Mytilus edulis: one gene and its partner. The main gene of each other region encodes a partner of the protein of the gene in region 2 in a complex. Links are inferred from orthologs where the notes say so. Each region holds a gene or a part of one and is shown on either strand. Other genes may lie near its edges. The genes, in order: protein unc-79 homolog and protein unc-80 homolog.

Evidence for each region.
Region 1: the proteins of protein unc-80 homolog (region 2) and protein unc-79 homolog are in contact, whole or in part, in a cryo-EM structure (PDB 7W7G), measured with the Mus musculus proteins. The link is inferred for Mytilus edulis from reciprocal best matches to the Homo sapiens genes UNC80 and UNC79. Residues at the interface, in NP_780719.2 of Mus musculus: Gln23, Thr24, Trp27, Ser31, Leu34, Arg35, Pro36, Ala80, Pro83, His84, His87, Ser94, Asn95, Asn180, Ala183, Leu187, Phe190, Leu191, Arg337, Leu340, Gln341, Pro342, His343, Arg1317, Asp1320, Glu1321, Asp1324, His1545, Val1546, Asp1547; in XP_030102533.1 of Mus musculus: Thr120, Tyr123, Ser127, Ala130, Thr131, Leu168, Ser169, Ser172, Met175, Ile176, Gln179, Tyr180, Tyr207, Tyr211, Gly212, Pro213, Ser214, Val390, Cys391, Glu394, Glu402, Phe405, Arg472, Cys541, Asp917, Phe920, Ser965, Glu966, Phe967, Ser968.

The regions. Positions count from the first base shown.
Region 1 is NC_092346.1:71,309,276-71,322,366, forward strand, and holds the start of protein unc-79 homolog, read right to left. Parts: upstream 6,368-13,091; 5' UTR 6,266-6,367; coding exon 6,244-6,265; intron 5,575-6,243; coding exon 5,454-5,574; intron 4,846-5,453; coding exon 4,685-4,845; intron 4,384-4,684; coding exon 4,213-4,383; intron 3,639-4,212; coding exon 3,552-3,638; intron 1,805-3,551; coding exon 1,749-1,804; intron 1,397-1,748; coding exon 1,267-1,396; intron 750-1,266; coding exon 685-749; intron 217-684; coding exon 58-216; intron 1-57. Other genes in the region: cilia- and flagella-associated protein 36-like, read left to right, coding at 6,644-6,743, 10,422-10,486, 11,215-11,325, 11,748-11,953, 12,558-12,693. UniProt on the Homo sapiens protein: Auxiliary subunit of the NALCN sodium channel complex, a voltage-gated ion channel responsible for the resting Na(+) permeability that controls neuronal excitability.
Region 2 is NC_092345.1:26,663,488-26,676,295, forward strand, and holds the start of protein unc-80 homolog, read right to left. Parts: upstream 6,708-12,808; 5' UTR 6,521-6,707; coding exon 6,438-6,520; intron 1,700-6,437; coding exon 1,651-1,699; intron 668-1,650; coding exon 505-667; intron 1-504. Other genes in the region: 26S proteasome non-ATPase regulatory subunit 5-like, read left to right, coding at 6,740-6,921, 8,110-8,254, 8,973-9,111. UniProt on the Homo sapiens protein: Auxiliary subunit of the NALCN sodium channel complex, a voltage-gated ion channel responsible for the resting Na(+) permeability that controls neuronal excitability.

The DNA of each region.
Region 1 (13,091 bases), on a different chromosome or scaffold from region 2:
TGTACATCACATTCTTACCTTATTTTCACATGTGATTGACATGTGTGACATTCTTACCTTATTTTCACATATGGTAGACACATGTGACATGGGTAATAATATGTCAGTCATGTATTCACTATGATCTTTCCTGAGAACATCAGCACAGTCACTACAGATATACAGTGGTGGAGGCTTGTCTCCTGAATGTATTGCTAAAGCTGGATTCAAACACATCTAAATATACAAAATGTAAATTGAAAAATATTGTCAGCTTTTGGTTAATCAGTGGACATCTTCAATTATGAATGAAATCATATGTAACATGCATTTTATTTAAAATAATTAATTTTTGAAGTAAATAAGTCATTTTCTTTATTTTTAAGAACTATATGCTATTTTACAACTTATCCATTAAGCTATGTCTCATATTAAATTCAGAAGGTTCAACCTTTATGTGAATGGAACCCATACATTCATTCTATCATTGGCTGCACTGCCCTAACAAAAAAGCTTTAAATCTTGATCAGCAGTTCCTAAACATTTGCGTTAACACACCCTTCCCCCTTACTGGACATCATTTGGAGTTGAATTAGTAAAAGTCTGCATTAACCATCAATCAATCTCCAAAAGAGCGGATCATTCTTCCCCTAATAAATCAATCCCAGCAGTGTACAATAATACACAAAAATATTCTATTGGTACCTTAACAGCTTGACAGTTTCCATTGTTTACACATCCTCTCCTCTGACAAAGAACTGGTGGCCATGCTGAAATCAGGTATTACATAGATTAATTCGTATCTTATTGATTAACCAAACAGTGTTTTGTTTTTATAGTTGTTATTTTTTTAAAACACATTTTATCTTTGCTTAAAAGTTTACTTTTAACATATGAACTAACTTTCAAGTTGATGTAAACACAGCCACGGGTAAACTACCTTATCCTAAAACCTTTTTACATTTTTGTTCTTAAAATTTGGTTGGTTAATGATTTTGTCAGATTTTGAAATCTCATAACAATTCTGAACTTTTTAAAATTATCATATGATAGTTAAAAGTCTTGTATAGAACAATAGCATACAGAGTACAAATTTCTATTCTCAACACAGAACAATTCATATTTGTGATTTCTGGTCCTTATGTAGATGACTATGCTGTATGGGCTTTGTTCATTGTTAAAGGCCCTATGGTGAACTATAGCTATTAATTTCTGCTGCTTTGTTCTCTAATGGAGAGTTGTCTCGTTGGCAAAAATATCACATCTTTTTATTTATATATAAGTTACCAATATATTTATAGTGTATCCCTCTCCTATCAGATAATGCCGGGTTTAATTGTGGCCAGTAATAGAACAGAAGATTAGCTGCAGGAGCTCTGGCCGATGGTGGTCCATATGCTATTATACTCAGTATATCCTGAAATAACAAACATGTCATGAAAACATAAAAACATATTTGAATGCAATTTATGGGTACATGACTATGCATATTTATGTAAAATAATGCTTTTGTTTAACCCTTAATTTACTGAATGTGTAATCATTTAAATTTAAATAAACACTAAATTGCCTTTGAGTGGTGAAATAATGTTTTTAGAGTTAACAAAATAAAGTAAAATAGTATTTCAAAGAGGACCTTTCCTTAAATGATTCATGGGAATAAAAGTATTTTGTAGAAACTGAACAATACATTTTAATGACTGTTCAATTTATTGTGTAGAAAACATTGAAGAAAACTATTTCACAAATATGTTTTAGTCTATACTGACCTTAACTAGATCTCTCTTGATACTCATGAAGCATTCTAGTATCTGTGAGTGATATGCTGAAAGTCAAAGTTCTAATTTTAATCCAAGTATCAAGATACCTATATAAACTAGAGGCTCTAAAGAGCCTGTGTCGCTCACCTTGGTTTTTGTGCATATTAAACAAAGGACACCTATGGATTCATGACAAAATTGTGTTTTGGTGTTGGTGATGTGTTTGTAGATCTTACTTTACTGAAAAATCTTGCTGCTTACGATTATCTCTATTTAAAATAAAATTGGCCCATAATGTGACAGTGGAAAATATTTTGTAAAAATTTACAAAAATTAAAAAATTTATGAAAATTGTAAAAAATTGACTATAAAGAGCAATAATTCCTTATGGGGTCAATTGATCACTTTGGTCATGTTGACTTATTTGTAGCTCTTACTTTTCTGTACATTATTGCTGTTTACAGTTTATTTCTATCTATAATAGTATTCAAGATAATAACCAAAAGTTGCAAAATTTTCTTAAAATTACCAATTTAGGGCGAGCAAGCAACAACAAGTTGCCCGATTGGTCTGAAAATTTCAGTCCAGATAAATCTTAACCTAATGAACAATTTTATACACAGCAGATTTGCTTTAAATGCTTTGGTTTCAGAGATATGAGCCAAAAACTGCATTTTACCCTATATACTATTTTTAGCCATGTCGGCCATCTTGATTCGTGGGTGGGGTCATTGGACACATTTTTTAAACTAGATACCTTTATGATGATTGTGGACAAGTTTGGATAAATTTGTCTCAGTAGGTTCAGAGGAGAAGATTTTTTAAGAAGATAACAAAAATTGACTATAAAGGGCAATTACTCCTTAAGGGGTCAACTGACCATTTTGGTCATGTTGACTTATTTGTAGATCTAACTTTGCTGAACATTATTGTTATGAACAGTTTATCTCTATCTATAATAATATTCAAGATAATAAACGGCAAAATCTCCTTAAAATTACCAATTTAGGGGCAGGAACCCAACAACTGGTTCTTCGATTCATCCAAAATTTCAGGGCAGATAAATTTTGACCTGATAAACAATTTAACCCTGTCAGATTTCCTCTAAATGCTTTGGTTTCAGAGATATAAGCCAAAATCTACATTTTACCCCTATGGTCTATTTGTAGCTATGGTGGCCATCTTGGTTGGTTGGCCAGGTCACCGGACATATTTTTTTAAATTAGATAACCCAATGATAATTGTGGCCAAGTTTAATTTAATTTGGCCAGGTAGTTTCAGAGGAGAAGATTTTTGTAAAAGTAACGACGACGGATGCAGGACGCAGCTGGACGACAAGTGATTAGAAAAGCTCACTTGGCCCTTCGGGCCAGGTGAGCTAAAAATGTAAATAATAATTCAGCAGAACTCTGTGCCTAGGTTATCATTGCTGCTTTCTATGTTTAGTATCCTTATGGAAAACAACTCAAATTATTTTATGATTGTTCATCTATTGTGGTAAGTGATTTCAGCATTTAACCCTATGAATTAAGATATTTATAAACTGTCTTAAAATGATATGTATTGTAATACATACTGTATTGTGACAGAATTTCTATTTTTCTTTTCCTTGTAATGCAGTACATCTATACATGTATTTTGCTTTAAATGGTCCTGATGAAGGTAAATCCAGAAAAGCGCTTTGGATGCATGAAATTTTTAATGTGTTGTTTACATTTTTTCAGTAATTTAAATTAAATTATCTTTTGTAGGTATGGTGTTATTGTGAAAACTTGTTTTGTTTCCTTTTTTCTACTATAATGTATTACTTACAACCATTATCTGTGTGCTGTAGAACCATTGTTATTATTGCTGCAGCTGACTCACTGGCATAGGTAGGTTCAAATCCTCCATCATACCCTACAATATAAACAAATGTTTTACAACTGTGTGTTATGGATGGATGAGCTATTATATTTCAATTATACTTGTAAAATCATGATACAATTTCTGCCCATATGCATAAAAATGTGCCATTCATTTTTGCCACCTTGAAAGTCAAAAGGTAGTTTGGGCCTAGCTGTAGGACTAAATAGTTTATTGAATTTTACAGTAATGTACAAAAGTATTTTCATGGGAAATGACTTAATACATCAGAAGTGAAAGGGATATAAAAATAGACTTACAAATATAAATATGCAACATTAATAGTCTTTGCCTGTATAACAGATAGTAGTTCAAGCACATTTATGTCCAAATTCCTGTGTCAACGAAACAATATTTATAAATGATTAATCAATTGAACATGTGTATTTGTGTTGTGAAGGATAACAGCAGAGGTAATCAAGTTAGACATGTTAGACTTACTTAGTGTCATCAGTTTCTTATATTGTATGACTCCTTCACATGATTATAATATCTTGTGAGTCACAGACGAGATATCCCAGTTTAACTCTGGGTAAATAGATGTTTCTGCCTTTCTGCATTAACTTACCAAGTGTCATCGGTAACATATTACTACACAATAAGTCTATAGTTTCTTTGTGTAATGTAGGAGGAAATATAGCCAGGGTAGATGCCACTGTATAAGGGAGAGAATCCAATAAGTCATGCTCAAGGAAGGGAACAAGACAACCTAGAACTTTCAATACATTCTCTCCAACTTCTGAAAAGATAAAAGAAATATTTGTTTTATATATTAATCATATTTCTTATCAATGCTTTTTTGGCTGAAAAAATAATAATTAAAAAATTAATGGCATAATTACATGTTGGCAAATGATATTTTCTATTAATCATTGTTTAAGAGTCATACATGTATGTCCTATTTAAGAAATAATCATTGTTTACACATCATATATTTTTGATTTAATGATCATTTAACAATAATCAATCAGTTTCATATAAACTATCATTTTAATCCATAAAAACATAAGTCTTTTAAAGACATCATCATATAAACTAACCCAACTGCCTTATTTGCATAGTTGGAACTAATTCTATCATATCCAGAACAGCATGATAAAGTCCTGTGTAGTTCAGGTTGGGAAACACTGACAGTCTAACACTGTCCCTTTGTCGTGGACCGTAACTTTCAGCTGGAATGTTGGGTACATCTTTCAGCACACTGTAAAAAAGGGTAACTGATCAAGATATATCTATAAGTTGTACACCAAGTTACACTTTTTTTATTTAAAAAAAAAAGTCAATGGTGGTCAAGTCAATTTCACAACTTATCATAACATGGCAAAAACTACATGAACTAGATCTTGATATAAATATGATATTAAAACAACCTTAGAATGTATTAAGCATTTATCCCTTATTTTTTTAAAACCAAAAAACGTATCTTAGTACAACTTAGGTTTAGCAAAATGAGTTTTATGAACTAGCATTATATAAACAGAATGTATCATCTCAATCATGCTAATCTTTGCCTCAAATAAAATTGTTCAAGTGGAGCCCTTGCTGACATGTCAGTTTTCTAGTTTCATTTGAGCAAATTCTTGCAAAGCAACTTATTCCTTTCTGCAGACCATTAATTGGTTGATACAAAACTTATTGAAATTGAACACTCTTGTAGTACATGCAGTTAGTTGCATAGATGAGATATAAACCTGTCAAATATATAACAGTTTTATAAGAACATGTGTATTTGAGTCATCTTATTGTGTGACAACTTCATCCAAACTCATGAATACATTTGTACCTTAAGAGTGCCCAACAATCACTTACCTTAGCAAAGTCTGTGAGAAATATTTCAGTGTATTTTCAATTTCATTTCCTGCTGGTAATGGCTGTACATTATTTATCAAACGAGATCTGTAATCTTTCAAGTTCCGTATTTTGGATGTAACTACAACAAAACATTTCAAATTGCAATCCAAGAGCTGTATACTGTCATACATGTACATGTACAATGTATGTGATTTAAACTAGTTATATTCTTCCTTTATTTTAACTTAATTTTGTATATACATTGCATTGTCATATACATGTACATGTACTGACAAAAACAGACACAACTTTTTCTTTTTTCTATTCTTAACCCTTTTATACAAAACAGAGTCAGTATAACTTAAGTATTCATTTGAAATTCTATTTAGACAATTATTTAAACTTTATTTTGATTTCTACTAACTTGACCTTAGTGTTTGTTTGGATGGTGTGTACTTTGTTTAACCTATTTTTAATTTACATTACATGTATGTCTGAAAATTATATTGTGATTATTCTGCTCATGTTGGGCGCCGTGATTGGCAAATAAAATATTTGTTTGTTTGTTTGCATTACTGTACTGTTCTTTTTTGAAATAAAAGTATAACTTGATTGCAGTTTGGGATGTATTTTGCATTCAACATCTGTAATTGTACATGTAGCCCCTGGATGTTTGTTTGCCAAAAATTTGGAAAATAAGTTCGGTCGATTTTGATTGAACCCTGAAAAATGCAATTATTTTTATAAAATATTATTTGCATCATTAATTTCCTACGGCTATGACACACTTTAACTGAAATAAACTTACAAGTCGCTGCTCTGGTCGTCATGTTGGTAAGATTTTAATAATATATTGTCCTGCATACATTTCATCTCGGCATCTTTATGAAAGGGTAAAAGCCGAGTAACCCGAATGAAAATGCTGCGGATGCAGAGCGGTGTCAGATAAAATAATGTCAAAAAAATTGTTCCACGTTAGTAAACTAACAGTAATATTCTTGAGTAGAAATATTGATTTATGCATATTCTATATAAAAATTATGTTGTTTTTGTATAAACATTTAAATAATAAACATGATGATTATTCTTACAAATTTCTTTATAACATATTTTTCCAGAACAAAATAATCTGTAAGAAGTGTTCACAACACCGCTTAGATTCTCGGGTAACTACGCGAGACTTCCTTGTTGACAACTCTTTTTCCAAAATGGCTAGGTCAGACTGGGTCTACGATGAACTTCTTACATTTCTTGGCAATCCATTATTTCAGGTTCCAGTTTTAACCTTCATGGAAGCAAATTGTATAAGTATGTATTTTTTCAGACAGTCACCATAGTTGTAGGAATAAGAACTAAGTTTAATCCAGTAATGTTAAAAGTGAACGAAAAACCAACAAAGAGACACAAAGATTAAATGAAATTTCGTGTTTTAGTGTTTAACCATTACACCTTATCTCTATTCCTGGATGACCTGGCCGCTTGAACTTTTGACCTCATGCAACAATCACTTTTCCATTTGTGGCGTCAAGATTTTACGGTAACCTGTGTGATATCCAGTAATGTCGGACAAATAGCGATAAGGTGTATGGCAATGCCCCATGTAGCTAGTCGCCCAAAGCTGTTTTGCCAGACAAGCTGAAGTAGGGATGCTCGTCCCATGTAAAAAATAGGTATAAGCCCTTCCAAAATAGTAGTCCGAGATTACTCTGACGTCCAACGGCTGTTTTGCCAGACAAGCTGGGGCCGTGGGACGTCAGAGCTCGTCCCATATCAAAAAGTGGATATTTGCCCACCCAAAATAGATGCGCTGCCTTTCATTTTCAAAGATTATCACGTGACCACGATAAAACAATGATGATTTATGCAAATGACCATAATGTAACACCTCGTTCATTTACGATGCAAGTTATCTAAATGTGCGAGAGCTTCCGATTGTTCTCGTGGTCGGAACTAAATGCTTAATACCGATCTCCTGTAAAGGAGGTGAAAAATCGTGGTTGGCTACTAAATGTTAAACATGGATCTCCTACAAAATTTGCATATATTTGAGTCTCGAGGCCACGAACTCTCTCGTAACTTGACGTCCATTTGAAAGTGAAAGTCAAAATGCAGAAATCGATGGGTCTCTGTGAACTGTTAAAATATGGAAAAATAAAAGTTGGCAGGTAGGTGAAACTTACATAAATGAAAAGATAAATGAAAAATGAACAGATTGATGCCCGATTTATATAATTCCAAGGCCATCAGTCGGCACCAGAAGCGACGAAGCAGCGCATCTATTATGGGTTGGCAAATATCCACTTTTTGATATGGGACGAGCTCTGACGTCCCACGGCCCCAGCTTGTCTGGAAAAACAGCTGTTGGACATCAGAGTAATCTCGGACTACAAAAAAGATGAGCCGTTTCGTTGATTCTGGAGCCAGGTAGGTAGGTAAAACTCACATAAATAGAGACATAAATGAAAAATGAACAAATTCAGGTCCTATTTATATTGATCCAATGCTGTCATGATAATGGACATCATACTAAAATTCAAAATTTATAAAAGAAACTAAAATTAAAATTCATACAAGACTAACAAAGGCCAGAAGCTCCTGACTTGGGACAGGTGCAAAACTGCAGTTGGGTTAAACATGTTTTTTGAGATCTCAATCCTCACCCATACCTCAAGCCAATGTATAAAAAAACAAACACACAACAATATGCATGTTTAAAATATTGTCACTTTTTTTTCAACATTTGCATTATACTGTCAAAATTACTAACAACATTGAACAAGCGGGACATATCTTTGTTTATTATCATATATACTCAGGGGCGGGTCCAGGATTTCCAGTTAGGGGGGGGCGAAAAAAATTTGGAGTTTTTTTTTAGGTAAAATTATTGAAATATTCTTCTAAAGGGGTGAAATGTAGATATCTCGAACTATTGTGTGTTAAAATTAGTGAGGAATTAAAGTATCAAGCTGAAACCGCCTTAATCCACACCTGACAACAATCTACAGATAAACGGGCGGACAGAAGGATGCAAAGTGAGACGAGACAGATCACAATTGCTCACCTGACCAATATATTATTCAAACGAAAAGTTCTACTTTTACCAGCGATTTTTAATTGTCCTTTCGTGCTATCTGTTTTTTGATTTTCGGAGGTCGTGCCAGACTTAGCTGTGTTCGCCAAAAACAACTAAAATCAGAATGAGATGCATTTGCGCAGTTATATTTATTTTCTTGGGAGCCCAAGCATACAGTAATACGGTACAGAATTCGGCTAAATATTTAGGTTGCAAGTGAGAAATAAATATAGACACAGAGATACAAATTAATAAACTAACCTTTCGCTTGAAACAGTATTTCTATCTTTCATTACGGATATTATAAAAGAATCTCACCTGCCGACTGTTTTCTTGACTGTGTCATGATGAAATTATGAAAGTGAGTAAGGGATGATTTGAAACTTCAATTATCAAACAAATTGATTATAAATTCCGCAAATACAATGTAACTTTGTTTTTACTTTTAACTTTTAACAAACCTATTATATTTGTCATCAAACGCAGCTCTGCATTTGAGACCTTCCTTTGAAATTATTTATAGAACCTTAATAAAGCATAGGTCAGTTGATTAGTAATCACGTTGATTCTGTTGAACTGACTGTTTTATATACTTTGAATGTTAAAAAAGATTAAATGGTCTCTTCTGATACTTAAATATGTTGAAGTCAACCCATGCTTTGCAAATTTTAGGGGGGGGGGGGGGTGCACACCCTGCCTAAATCCCCCCTGATACTGTACTTTCAAAGTTGTAATTTGAAGTCAATATTTGAACAGTGAATTTATACATTTGTATCATTTTTAAATCAAAATCACTGTTAAAACTGTACTTTGTTTATTTAAAACTTCAGTTCTAAAGTGATATGGAGGTACATTCTGTACTTGAAACATGTGATTTTAATGTTTTCAAAAATTTATTGATGAACAAATGAACTCAATAAGCAAATAATAAATTTGAAAATTTGTTGAACAGGTTTTTTTCCAAAGTAAAGCAAGTGTTTGATCTTTCTTTACTGATTTAACCAAATCAAATGTTTGATTCAAATTTTGGATCCATGGGGGCAAAGCTCTCTTTTCAAAAATCTAAATCAGCCAAATTGATTAGTTTAAAGCGAAATTGGAATGTATATTTATGAACAACTGGACTCGCTATAAAACCTGACTTCCTAAATTCCTAATTTAAAAAATATACAGGTAATAACACTTCAAAATTCTAATATCAGATTTTGCATTTGTTCCAGAAATATTTACTGAAAACTATCTTCAGTTAATACGTCAAACACAATAAATAAATTGAAAATAGCTCCAACAGATATAAAATGTCAGGCTTTTATGTTTTCCCCTGACATAAAATGCAAATATCAAGTTTATTACATAATAAAAGTAGCAAAATTATACAATAGCTATTATATTAATAGAATTGAATTAATTATCCAGACAAAATCATTAATGAATCTAATCAGATAATTCTGTCATGTCTGTTGTACAAGTATGGATTTTAGAGACAAATAATTATATAAGCTTTGGTATTGACTCTGTACACAAAATCATACTTAATATATTAAGTCATGAATTATTATAGCTATGCCTACACAAAATCTGTTAGCCATAAGATATTGATAGTGCAGATACATTGAAAATTATTTATCTGATTTTGTGTATTAAAATCCAATGTTTATTCTCATTGTAATTTGAAAAACTACATATAAAGTAAACATTGTAAGGTATAAAAAAATTTAAAATGTAGTATAATTTCCAATGAAACAACTCTCAACCAGAGACCAAATGGCATAAAATTTAACAACTATTTGTCATTGTACAGCCTTCAACAATGAGCAAAACCCATGGCACATTACATGTTACGAAAAAATGTAACAATAATAAATTGAACCTAATTATAATGGTTGGTACTTAACAAGCAGCTATGATTTCAGTTTTTGACCCCAGTATAGAAGACTGTAAGGAGTACAGAGAACAGCATACATCATATCATGATTTGGTAAGATTTATATCACTACAATGAAACCTGTCTGTACAACTCTGGCATTTCTAAAGATCATTATTTCATGTATTTGGTTTAAAATGTTTCACTGTAAATGAAGAGAATTATGAAAATGATATTTACAGTGACTGAAAGGATAGTGGTGGAAAGACAAGGAAAGATAATCAATTCTTGTATTGTTCAAGGGCAATTTATTCAAATGAACAAATTTGAAAAATAAAAACTTTTGTTTCTTCAAATCAGTGGGGGGTTTTAGATAGTGTAGCCAGCAAAAAATGACTGTTCTTTTAGGTAGATAATGAATTTATATTTATTTTCTTTTTACATGAAAGATGTTTTGGAGTTTTCAATGATCTTCAATAAACAATAATACATTTGTACATCTATACTTAATTTAATGCATAAGACAAAGGGCTAAGAAACCTCAATAGAAGGCAAGGCGCCCTTCCCCCCAAAAAACCCCAACAAAAAATAATATATAAATAAACATATAAAAGGAATTGAATAAAAAAGAACAGGATATTCATCTGAATGAAAGATTTTTGTTTGCACAAAAAAATGCATTAAAGTCATGAAAGTCTCTCATTGTATTTTGTGTTTTATAAAATATGTGCCAGATAATTTATTTATTTATAGATAAAGAATATACAAGTTGAATTGATTATGTTAATGGTAATTGTTTGAGAGAAATTATTATTTAAAGAAAATATCTGTTTGATTTTCAGATAAACACATTGTTAGACGGCTTTAGGAAGGATTCAAAACTGTCTCATGAAGATATCATCAATGCATTTAAAGAAATGAATGCCAAAGATGATCTTAAAGAAATATTTCAGGTACATAATGTTTTCTTTATGGGTTAGATTTTTTGTTTTATTATAAGCTTACTTAAAGTTTTGACAGGTAGGCTTGCACTATTCTCATCACTTTGGGTCTGTCAACTGGTCAATAAGCGGAATAAGACAATGACATGAGTCAATATTGTCCAAATCATAAGTAAACCTCCTGAAAAGTAGTTATTGACATTAAGATCATATTGCTAAGTATTCTTCTGCTATTCATATTTGATATTTGCAATTTCTCTATATCTACTATAGTTTTTGCAAAAACACTAAAAGTTGATAAAAATCATCATTCGTTAGACTTTGACATCATGTATATCCATGATTTTTTTAAGAGCTTCTGTATTAAGTAAGAAATAATTAAATATAACAACAGAATATGAATTATTAAGATATTTTTATTTTATTGTTTTCAGGTGATATTTGAAATGGTTTTAGCAATGGATGATTTTAGTATGTTTGTTAGAATAATGACTTTAAAAAATATTGAGCTCCAAGAGCAGGTATTAAGAATGATGGCTAAGACTACAGGCAGTATACCAGATAGTTTTACAACCGCTCCTCCAAAAAAAGCAAAAACTGCAGAAGAGGCAGAGGAAGAACTCCTGGCTAAAGTTATGGAGTAAGTAATATTCAGGGGTACTATTCCAAATCTTTTGTGTGTCAATCAGGCCAATCAGGATTTCTTGTCATAAGTCTCAACAATGTTTCTAAACCTATAAAAAAACAGAGTTCAGGGTAAAAATTAAGAAATGGTGAACTTAGGTCTTGGATATAGATATTGAAGTGCATTACAACCCTTCACTCACTCCTCTTATTTCGGGTCATATGCCAATATGATGAATTAAGAATTAACACCTTCTTAGCTTTGCATACCGGGTAATTAAATTCAACTATATTAGGCTTGTAGAATGATTATTTACTTATTATGTATAACATTATAAATAACAACATTATATTATAGATAATGATACTGCATCAACATAATGATTGGACCTTGTTTGTATTTTAAGAGATGCAGGAAATTTGATAACTAGAATTTTAATTTTGAAATGATGACATAGAATTTTTTGGTGAAGTGTATGGGAAGATTTGAATAAAAAACTGCAGGAAAAATTGAATTGCCTTTCAAAAGCATTCAGTTGAAAGAAGTTAAATATTTACTCATATGAATGGATTGTTCTTTGTAAAAATAACTTATGACCTGCATCATTTTTCATATATAGACAGTCAAAAAAAGAATATGAAATTGAAGAAAAGAAGAGAAAAACTATGGAAAAAGAGGAATTAGCAAATGTTATGGTATTAGAACAGAACCGATTACAAAATGAAAAAGTAAAAGAACACAAAAAATATGAACAGGTAAAGTATTTCATTTATTACTATTAAATAATTCATTATCAGGAAAAATTAAAACCAGCTTGGCACAGCCCAGTATTCTGTCATGTACATTACTTTCTATCCTGTATATGAACAAAGTATTCTCAAGGTGATATTTAAAAAAAATATTGGACCACTTACTAATGATAGTGCATTAGATTAGAAAGGAGAAAATATATTACATAATATATTCATCTTCAGGAGGCAATTGATAAGGGGGAGTGAAATATATTGAGAGGCTTCATATGACATTGAGCGTCCTCATATCCAGCACACATAAAATGTTTGAACAAAATAATTGAATTGAACTTTGGTGTATAGGACCCAGCCGTTTGATAAAATCTATATTCAGATAGTGATGTTTTAGATATTTAATGATC
Region 2 (12,808 bases):
CTGATCTGTTCAGTAGATAAATGGAAAGAAATTTCTTGAAGTAAATGCAGTTCAATAACTTCAATTGTCAATATAACGTTTTTGATCCTGTGAATCTACTATAAATAAGACAGTTTGAAAAAAATGACCCCCAACTTTCACAGCATCTAAAAAATAACCAAAATTGTGTAGCAACAGGGCAATTCCTCCTACAGAAAAAAAATACATTGAGCAGGAGCATCATTGTACATCCATTGAAATTTGAAAGGAATCAATCTGGAGTGTAAGTAAACTATACATGTGCAGTACAATGAAACAAACTACACTATGGACAACAATACAATTTTATAAAAATATATGTGTATTTTAATTTTAATAATACACTGTGAAAGTTGCAATGAACTTAATCACCCATGCGTTATCATTATTATTTTTCTAAATGGCTTCCAAATCCAAAATATTTGTTGCCGAAATAACCATTTGTATAAAAATGTGTGGTTAATAAGAACAAGCATGTACACTAACCTGTTTGGTTTTGTTTGCAAGCAGCCAAGAGTGAAGAACATGCATGCATGACATGTGGAAATGCTGCTTGTATAACCTTCCATCTAGATACACTCTGTATGGCCTCACAAAGACTAGGGGAGGCTCCATGAAGGATATTCTGTACAACAACACGTTCCAGTGACTGAAAAATAAATGGAACTTTTTTACGTTTTCCCTATGAATATTCACTACCATGTGGGGCTATTTTCACATAAACTCTTAAATGTAGGATGAAAAATTATTGAAAGTTTAAATGAAAAAATTCATGACTTTCAAGCATTTTTTCATGAAATGACCTTTTGAGTTCTGGTATATGTGTATTGTATCTAATTCTTCTTCCATATATACATTTATGTATTTATTCCACTGTCATTATGGTAACCAATCAATTTTATAACAAATTGTCTCCTCTTTTATTGACATGATTGATGACAATCATTAAATTCGTTCCAGATTCGCCTCCAGTCTGTTGACATAAGCTTGTTGACTGTTATATATTGACAGTCAAATTAAAGTCAAATACCACAAGGATCCTAGATTCCACTCTAGACTTTGGAATTAATCAAATGTGCATTCAAACCTAGGTGAGTTTAATTTTTCATAAATTGCTTCAATTTAATGTTTTTTAAAAAGATATGCAGTGTAAACTATCTCAAAGCATACTCATCTTTAAATAAATCCTGATTTCATGACCTGTAGACCAAATATATAACAGTTTATACAGTGTAGTGTAAAAATGTATGCTGCTTTTTCAACAAATCTGCCACTGTAACAAATGATCATGTTATGTACATGTAAGACTCATTATGATGGCTAATTTTTCAATGGCTAAATTATGTTTATCTTATAATAATTTGTATTCTGTTACTTTCTTTGGCTAGTACCGTAAAGCACATGAGCAAGCTTTCTTTTTTATACACAAAAAAACATAATACTTTTGTTCATTATGTGCAACTCGAGTTCTAAGTACTGTATAATTTTTTTTCAGACATAACAAGTTTTTAATGGGATATATATCCAACACATTTGCAAACTATTATTAAAAGACTATTTTTTTAAATGTTCACATACATGTATATATACATGATAAATTTGTATCTGCAAAAATTATGTTATTCAACTTACAACTACAGCTGCTTCACACAGTTTTCCTCTCTTTGGTCTTATAAATGGACTGCAAAAGAAAATTTATGTTCAGGAACAGAAAGACCAAAATCAATTTAAACATCACTTTTTGTTACTTACAGGTCTCGTTTCTCGTTTCTCATTTTTTTATTTTATATAGATAAGACCGTTGGTTTTCCTGTTTGAATGGTTTTACACTAGTAATTTTGGGGCCCTTTATTGCTTGTTAATTGTTCTGTGTGAGCCAAGGCTCCTTGTTGAAGGCCGTACATTGACCTATAATGGTTTACTTTTTTAAAATTGTTATTTGGATGGAGAGTTGTCTCATTAGCACTCACACCATATTTTCCTATATCTATCTACAACTTAACAATAATACAATTTAAAATCTTGAAATTAAATTGATTCTTCATTTAGTCACAGTTATTAACATTTAAAAAATTTTGTCAAACGTTTTGAAGTTATTTCACGGACAGTGCTCTAAGTATCACTTCTCACTACTGAAAGGTCTACAACTCATATGATCAGGATCACATGACTCAATATCCATGAACATGATGAAAGCTAAAATGAATAAGTGTCTGTTAATTAACCCCATGGTGGCAGCCCGTTATCATATTCTTGACAAATTGAGCCAGTATCTTTCATTTCTTTTAGAACTCATTTAGGATATAAATGTGCTAATTTCTCATTTGATATACTGTCAACATGATTGATATAAAACATATAAACACATGACATGATGCACCAGTCACGTCTGAATATTAAATCACATAGACCGAAAGCTGACTGCAGGATTTAGGCCTTACCTGTTGTTAGTTTGGCAATAAGGGAACATAAAAGGGGTCCAGTTTAACCGTGAAGGGGCCTATTGGCAATCCCATATATTATGGATTTGTTTATATAATTTGTTTATATAAATAGGCAGTGTCTGAGCATACATTGTACCTGCATGCGGGTACCAATAGCCAAATTTTTCTTTGTAGGGTATGCGTTTCTGCATCAGGTTTAATAATTTCATGTCATTGGATTGGGAATAAAATGTGAAATGAACCCGGAAGTTTTCGCAATCCCAGACATATTTTGTTAAAAATCATGATCCCGATAAATTTAAAAGTTTAAAGTTTCAATGCTTATGATTAATGTTCAAAGTCTTTCAGCTTAACCAATCCGAATATGTATTATCACTGTTACCGTGAAGTCAAGCTGTATATAAGCATTTTTGTTCACCAAAATCTTCAGTAGCCAGTCAGAAAATTGGCCAAATTCCAGTTCAAGTCAAAACAAGAATTTGGCTTGATAAGAAACTGGATGCACACGTTTAGGGGGAAAAAAGGGGGTAAGGTTTTGTATATACAACTTTAATAAAAAATCGAACGATATTTTCAAGTTGATTGAATGAATACTTATTAGTACTTTCACAGAAAGAGATAATTTTCTACATGTACCTATCAAATTTGATCTTTCAGTTTGAAGGAATGTTTTCTCGGGATCCCATTGATGCTGTGTATAAATATACTTTTCCTTGGTCATCTTTGTATTAATATTTCTCCCCATCCTTTTTTCACAGGCCGATTCATTAATTCCCCAATAATTGATAAGGCCAACTAAAATCAATTAGTAGATTTTCATCCAAATTTTTGAAAAAAATGGGGCGGGTGGGAGGATTTTATTTTTAAAATTTTATTTCATATGAAACCCTCGTCACGAGTTCTTCATACCGCAGGGTATATGCTAGTGGAAAACAAGCTTGTATAATGTATATACATGCCGTAAAAGGAATCCTACACTATTTTTTAAACTCTTAAATAAAAATCCCTGATTGGCAACCACTGTTAAACATGTAATTGCCGCTTTAGAAACCTATTTATAGTATACATCAAAAAGAAGAAAAATGCCCCCTTCAGTTTGACTATACCTACACCAAATTTATTTTGCTTTCTAAGCAATGGTTTTTAGTCCCCATAAAATCAATAAAATGTATTGGTACAATTGTATGCAACACAAGTATTATGAGTACAGAATAAAATGTAAACTCAGTATTGAAAGTACAATGTAAAACATGAACTTAACCGAAAAGCAGTTTAATGACTAAATTGAGGGTATTGGGATAGTTACAAAGGGTGTTTGCTGTTTGTCAACAAAAACAACAGCCATGGGTAAATATAAGGGCTTGTTATAATTAAAATGCGTGTTTGTCGACTTTTTTTTCTCAATATACGGTCATAAATCAAACAAGTTCGTGCTTGTGCAAATTTCTTTAATACAGTCATGTTTTTTGTACCAATGTGTTCTACGATTCTTGCGCTTTGGATATCATTCACAGTCCAAATTTCCTGACACAAAGTCATCGTATAAATAAAGAAAAAACACGGTTTTCGATTCACTAGTGACTACTGCAATTTGCGTTCAAGGACAAGGCGTTTTACTCGTAACTCGAATATTTCACGCCCTTCTCGTTATCAATCTCTATTCTCGGTAGATGATGTTGTCATTATAGAGCAGCAGAATATGTCGACTTAATCATTTTTGTTAGATTACTCGAAGAAATACAAATACGAAATTTGAAACAGGAAGTTTTGAATGAAACGAAATTATCGATGGTTCCCGGTAACGGACATGAACAAAATCCGGAAATATTTTTTTTGTTAAATAAAAAAAATCAGGGCGGGACAATTTCAGAGGGGCGGGCGGGGATGAAAATCTAGCAATTAATTTTAATTGGCCTAACATATTTTTTTAATTTGATTAAGTCAGTGAAGCTTTCGCTGTCCTTTAGCACAATGTTTGTTTTTTCCTTAAGGAAAGCCAAAGAATGTTTGTCTTTGTGGAACAACAAAAGGGTTCTAATTGATATAATTTGAGAATCGTTTAATTAACGGAATAATTAAAGACCTGATCCGAGCTCAAAGCTGTATCTCTAAACGTACTATCACATGTACTTTGATTGATTGTTGGTTGCTTAATGTCCAGTGGCAAATACTTCATGCATATTCCAGACGAGAACAAGTTCACAATAAGTACAATAGGTAGGTCTTGTCATTAAAGAGGCCCTTTGGAATGATGGTCGGAGATATTTGGACTGCCACTGGAAAATGAGGGTAGATTAGATAGGGACAGAAATTTTGCCTTGCAACAGGCCTCAAAGAGTTGTTGCAAGGATTCTTAACATGCACAGAGTGTGGCACTCTCTTTACATGAGGCATCCGATTTAACGTCCCCATTCTGACCGACGTGACTGCGAACTTGACACATCCCGCACAGCCAACTTCAGCAAGCGTTTTACTGCCGTTTTGGAGAAGACCAAGTGACCTCAGTCACCCTTGGGGTTTACATGTACGTATACTCTGATCTGGATCTACTCTGTTTCTAGATGCGATTCTGATTGAAGTATAATGAACATGGCACTTTGTCCAAGGTACAGTTGTTTGTCAATCCCGTAATATTTCAACATAATAATCCCACATTCCTGTGGCTAAAAACGTGGCTTTCCTGTATCCCAATGTTTTTCTATCCCGAACTCCCGATCTTTAAACAAGGCAATCCCGATTTCCCATTGCTAAAATTGGCCAATCCAGGCGACCCGAAAATGGTCTAGCCCCCCCCCCCCCTAGAAATGACCTTGGTTATTATTTTAATATCTTATTTAATATTAATTATAATTATTGATATAATTTGATATACACCATTATTTTTTAGAAGATAATCCAATTAAAAAAGTATAACAAACAAGTGAAAAACAATACAAAATTAGGACAGTTCAAGTTCTTGAAATAAATAATCATAAATATGTGAATATCAAATGCATCTAGTTTTAGGCATATGAAATTTTATCTTATCATCTTCAATTATGTATACACTCAAACTTTATTTTAAGTTGTTTTAGATCATATTTTAAAATTTATGTTTCCAGCATGTCCAGGTTTCTGTTCTGAATTTTATTAGAAAATAACTTTCACACAAGTTTTTTATTAACCATTGTTAACATACAATTATTCAAATTCAGTATAATTTTATTCTTCTTTTAATGTGCATTTACGTTTAATTTCTATTTTTTTTTTAAATAATACATTAAACACAAATTATTATTTATTATTTGCCATTCTTTGAACACTGAATTCACAAAATCCGTAAATAACTGATTTTTTGGGGTATCTTCATGATCTTTTATGTTCTATTCCTGATCATATGACCGTTTATTAAAAAATCGGTTGCGGTTACGCATAGCCTAATATGATGGCCGAATTAGCTATGCGTACCGGCATGCGGGAACATGCAGACACTGCCTTGTTCATTGAACAATAAGAATCATATTAAAAATTTGGGTGGTTTCTGTAACTTTTGTAAATATTTATATCTTCTACTTCTACTTCTATGTGGTTAATCTGCAGTCGGAAATTCCATAACGCAAATATACTGAACGCGTGTGTCAACCAGTACACGCCAAGTTAAAAATAACAAACTTTGTGTATTTACAGGAACAAAAACAAATAAAATTATCATATAATTTTTAAACATAATTAACGTCTGCAAAATTAATGGTTACAAGATTTAAATTTAAAGTGTTGCATAAATGGGTGCATTTGAACTCTTTGTTGTGTTTATATTAATTTATACATAGAGTGCTCCCCCTTCAGTCTTGACATTTCAATCAATGCAAATGGCACCAAAAACTTCTTGATTGCTTTGTGAAAACTAAATTTTTGGAAAAGAAACTTTCAATAACATGATTAATGAAGAATATGTGGATTAACATGATTAATGAAATTAACATTTAATACGCCCACCTTGTTTGACGCCAGAAAAAAGCCTGGATAGGCAATGGAATCGATTGATCATCGTCACCAGACAGATTTTTACGCTTAGGCATTTTATAATTGCTTCTTCATTAAATATTTACACCCTTCCATCTTTAATTTTCTGTTTCGCATCAAAAATGGCGTATGACTGGAACTCTCTTATCTGTTTATTGATCTGAATCGGCTGCTGAAGCTGATTGTTTTGATCAGTATATTTTTAATAAAAGAGTCCGAGATTTCCGAGAAATGTATATCTACATTCGACACTCTCTAGACTGTTCATCGTAAAAATGGCGGCAAATGTAGACGACATTTGTCGGTCTTTGGAAACGACAACACTGTCAACAGATGTTTTATCAACATTGGTTGAGTTGAAAGCAGCTTTATCATCTGTCAGAACAATAAATCTACACACAGTAGTCTCAGTTTCATCTGTACAGAAGTTATTTGGCTTGTTAAACACTGATGACGGGTTTGTAACTCATGTTTTTACTTCAATTTTGCAAGTCATCCTATACTTCACAATATCTCCATGTATCTCCAGCGTTGTACAGTTTAGGCTTATAAAGACTGATCTCCACAGTATTTGCTTACATCATTAGGAAGGTTGACTATCTATGTATAATTTACATTAGACTAAATTCAAGATGAAAATCACTTGTGTTAATATTGAGTTAACATGGTTAAGCCATTTCCTATTGATATTTTATAATGTGTCTCAAATGTTATACCATTTGTTTCAGGTACATGTAAGGGTTAAGGTTGGTATCTTAAAACGTATAGCCCTTAACTCATTGCATTTGTTTGCACCTGTTCTACATTTTTTTTAAATTAGGAACCTGATGTTCAGCATGTCCAGTGGTTGTTGTTTCTTGATGTGATTTATACATGTTTCTTGTTTTTTAATATAAATTAGACCTTGTTTTACCTATTTGAAAGATTTTACACTAGTCATTTTTGGTGCCCTATATACAGCAACCTTAGGGTTCCTCTTCACCATCCTCATATACATGTATTGTGTTATAATCTCTATTATTTCTGTTGCTGCTTCCTGTTATTTCAGCATAATAATCAGAATAATAGATTTATTAGAGTTTGCTGTTAGGTAGAAGCCAAGGCTTCATTTGGAAGACCAAACTTTTACCTACAATGTATTTATGGTTTACTTTAATTTTACAAATTGTGTCTTGGATGCCATGAGAGTTGTCTCATTGTCACTCATACATTTTTTGTACCACATCTTATTATATCTACTCAACATTCAATACACTTGATATAGGAAACAATTCAAAGACTCCTGACTTTGGACAGGCACTTTTTATAAACTTAGACAGTGGTGCATAACAATATAAACATGAGAAAAAATATAAAAATCAGTTGAAAAGGGCTTAACTCATCAGATCGATAAAACATCAAACTAAATAAATGAATTTTGCAGGTTATTAATACATCTCTTACAACAAAAAAGACACAAAGCACAGATCATGCAGATCTAAGATTGTTATGTTTCTATTAACATGATTAAATTAACAGCTTGTTCAAAACCAAAAACAATTTTTTAAAAGATAATCTGAAATTAGAATAGATAGCTTCATATATTGCATTTAAATGTTATTTTATTGTTATGTTTAGTGACTGTTTTATTGTTTTTTTCTTTCAGTGAAATCATTGAAGAATGTTGCAGTATTTTAAAAAATGTTTTGCTAGCATGGTCACCTGCTGTTGGGTTGGACCTATTCAAAAATGATTTTGATATAGGATTAAAGCACCCTTCTACCACGATACAGTGTTTATGTTTAAGACAGGTAACATTCTTCTATGTTTTAGTAAGGATTATTTATATAGATCTATGTCCACTCATGTTGGATGAAGGGGCAATTTGATAAACCTTATTGCTATTTAGTTCAATCCAGGAAAAACAGTAACTTGGACAACTTCCTGTTTGGGTCGAGTGAACCAAGAACAAAGTTCATCAGTAACGAGATGAGGGCAGAAATGTTTAGAAAGTGAACATTGTGAAATTTGTATAGTTTATGAATGAAAGTAAGAAAAATGCTTTGTTCGAAGTGTTTGCAAGGGTTTAAACACAACTCTTTGAAAATTTGCATGCACAGTACATTGTTTATACAGGGCTCCAGATAGCTTCAACTGGTTTGAAAGAGTGGACAATATTTGAACTTTTTGGATTGGAATAAATAGCGATTTATAAGGTTTATTGAAGCTCAGTGAAAAGATTTTAGAGTGACTTAATATTATAAGAATACATCAGTAGCTTCTTAAATTGAGTTAATAAGATAATTTTTATGATAATAAAGTTACCAAGTATGATACCATACCATTTTTTACCAGAAAAAATAATTTCTGGGGAAGCCCCCCTCCAGTAATGTTTTATTGTGCACATACATGTACTTTCGACTTATATAAACCCATACACCAGTCTTAAGGCTAAATATTCAGGCATATGCTTGTGAATCATTATGTTCATTTTACTGTAATCAATGTCCTTTAAAATCTTTTTTTCAGCTAAAACTTGCTGGAGAAGATGACCAAACACTTTTGAATTGGGATTCAGCAAGAGATGTCATCAAAACAGTGATCAATTTGATAGCTAGCCCATCCCTTCAGGTGGCAAAACATGCACAGAATGTGATACTTAATATTAGTATGTTGTCTTTAACTTAAAATCACTTCAATATCTCTCTATAGATGCTATAATGTGCATTCATTTATTATACAGTTAACTCTCGTTGTCTCGAACTCGGTTGACTCGAAATTTCGGATGAGTCGAAATTTTCACGTGGTCCCGAACTTTATTCCATACAAAAGTATGTAATTCGACTCCTGATGAGTCGAAATTGGATGAGTCGAAATTTCGGTTGAGTCGAACTAAATGTACGGTCCCAAGGTTAACAAAGCATTCAAAATTCATTTTTTATCTCGAACTAATACACATATATGTCAAAACATGACCTCCGGGATTTAAATGGATTGAAGAGTTAATCTGACAATACACGTGTAATTAAATTTCCGGTCACTGACCACTGTATTGATTTATGACATGCTATTTCCATGAGTGTTTACCTAAGATTATCTTTTATAGAATTTTGATAAATAATTAGTGATACATTGTTAATGTTCATGAAAAAGTATTTAAAATGTTTACAAAACAATTAATTTGTGATTTACACTAATGAGCTTGAGTGTGTATAAAGTGAGGATTGTGGCTTCCGTTGATGATCACCTAAAAACTACTCAAACGGCGTCTTCAATCTTGTTATATTTTCTTTTGAAAAGAAAGAGTGAGATAAAACAAAATGAATAGAAATCAAAATTTTCTTAAATCTCTTGTATCCGAGAATAAACAATTTTGTCAGCTATAACCGACCTGAATAACGAAACTATCGATTGGAAATTACTCTCTTGGAAAAGCCATAGCATTTTTTTTTAATTGAAACAATTGAATAAGTACAAATAATGTCATTATAATAATAAAAGACTGTGACATACAAATACATCGATCTGATACTAGAATATCGATCCCCTTGCCATATTCAGCTGGATTTATTTAAGCTTTACCAAGCTAAGCAAGAGTTGTGTCCCTTAGATTGTCGAACTTCCGGTGTTCGTTTGAGTCGAACTACGTGTAATATTTCTCTGGTCCGGCTGACTTCGACATAACGAGAGTCGACTGTACATGTGCTATGACTCAAGATCACACTAATATCTCTATAGTGGGAATCCTTTAATGTACAAAAAATGTACCTGTACCTGTACCTTTATAGTCCAATCAAACTAAGTTTGAACCTCAAACTAATTGCAGAAATGTTTTAGTTCTAATCTATAGCATTAAGCCCTAAAAATACACAGAAAAAAGTCCAATAAAATCTAACTTGAGGAAAACTTAATATGAGCATTTTTAATTTCTTGTGGAAATTAACATTGGAAAGGGAGATAACTCTGCAAAAAATAGTCTTTTTTTGTCAGTTTTTGGTTGATTTTCTTAAAATTCATGTAAAATATGATACTTTGATGGGGTTGTAAGTTCGTATTTTACTATATTATATAATGTTCAGCTCATAAAATGTACATATGATAACCGATGTATTATGGGTATTTTTTTTTTTTTGCACATTTTTCATTAAAGAATTTGCAAATTTATGGCTTTGTGACCAATTTGAAATAAATAATGTGAATATTTGGTATTGTTTATAACTGCTAAATATATTTGTTCAGCATCTACCTTTTTAAAAGAAACTGTAAACCACAAAAAGAAGAATATATATGCTTAATTGCAGGGCTCACGCTACCAGGCGACTTGGGCGAAGAAGTCGCCTTCCCCACTGTCACTTCGCTTTCCCCGACCCCCAAAAGCGAAATCAAGTCGCCCTGTTCTTGGCGATACTCGCTTTCAGTCGCTTCCGTCATCGGACATTTTCAATTTTTACCAAGTTGATGAAACATCAATTTGTTATTGATAATTAAAGAAATTCAGACATAAACGATTCATTATCTTTAGAAAAGAGGTTGAAGCATTGTCTTCGCAGTGTGCAGCAGGTTATTTGATAAAAATACAACTTTTTATCACTTCATGCATTTTCGCAAGTTCCGGTGCTTGTTACTCGAAAACGTACATCAACCTAAATTTCGGCGGCAAAATAAGTTTGTTACTTCATTTAAACGTGAAAAAGTTGCCTCCAGTAAATGTTTAATCCATTTATTGCATTAAAAACGTCATGTTCCTTTTCAAATAACTTGTCAAACATCGTTTATTTTTGTAAATTTTCTTGCATTTGTCCGCCATTGACCGATTTCTAAACTACGGATCTGAACCGGACCAGCTATGACTGAAATCGTACTTTTACAATAATTACTACGGACGCACGGACGGAACAGTTGACAGAAGAATATTGATTCCAAAGGGAAAAATTACGCATTCCACACACATAAAGAGACTTTTGGTTACATCTAATTGATTGGTGTATATAATTCCCTATATTTTTTTATGGATTGTTTCAAACTATTGATTAAAGTTGCTTAACTCTGAGACTATTATACTAATTTCAATATATTATGGCCCAGCTTAATAACTTTTATATTTTTTTATGAGAAACACTGAATTTCATACACAAGATAATTTTTAATTAAATTGTAATAATGATATATTATAATTTCTTTACATTTTTTAAAATATTTTTTTTTTTTAGTGCTAGATATTTAGTTGGAATAAGTTTCTCACAAGAACCTTAGTAAAACTTAAACAACTTTTAATTTCAAATGTTACTTTAATTGTAATTTTTTTACTCAGATATGAATTGAACAATATAAAAAGAACATTATTTACATATGGCCCTTTATACTATTGTAAAATCCAAACATTGTAGCGCACCGCGCGAATGAGCACTTCTCTTTCAAATCTCACCACTTCTCCCTATCAGTTTCAAAAAGAGAAGTCACTTCTCCCTATAATTCTGAAGTAGTGTGAGCCCTGAATTGGTTTTATTCAATTTGAGATTCTTTACTTTGACATGCTGAAAAATCTTATAAATGGTTAACCAATGAATTATGAAATCTAGGTTGTAGCTTGATAAAAGATATGAAAACACCTGTTTTTTGTTATACTCTAAAGACCACTATTTTTTAAGAGTTATCTCCCTTATCAATGCAAATCTCCATAGGAATTTTAAAATCATGAGTTTTTAGATTTCCTCAAGTTAATTTTATGGGACTTTTTTTTGAGTGTATTTGGGATATAATGCTAAAGATCAAAACTTTAAAATCTTTTGTTGCAATTACTTCAAAGTTAGGGTCAAATTTATGATAGATTGACTGGACTTTTATAGTTAGAAGGAAGCTTACAGTAGTTGTCAAGCATTTTGTCAAGTGCCTACTATAAAATTGAAAATGGAATGGGGAATGTTTTAAAGAGACAACAGCCCAACCAAAGAGTAAAAAACAGCTGCAGGCCACCAATTGGTCTTCAACACAGGGAGCACATCATGCACCCAAGGGCGTGCTTCAGCTGGCCCCTAAACAAAAATTAGTACTAGTTCAGTGATAATAGATGTCATACTAAACTCTGAAATACATAAATGATCTAAAACTAAAAATCATACAATACCAACAAAGGCTAGAGGCTCCCGACTTGGGACAGGTGCAAAAATGTTGTCAAATATGCCTGTATTTTGTAATGCTTGGCTCTTTTTACAAAAAAATCTTATGACAAAAATCAATGGTACTAATTTCTACTAAAATTTAACCGATGAATAAGGGTTTTTATTTCACAATATTGTTTGCTGAATGGGTTGCTGGCTGAACTAGAGGTGATTTTCGGTAGATAAGTGTAAACTCAATAATAATGA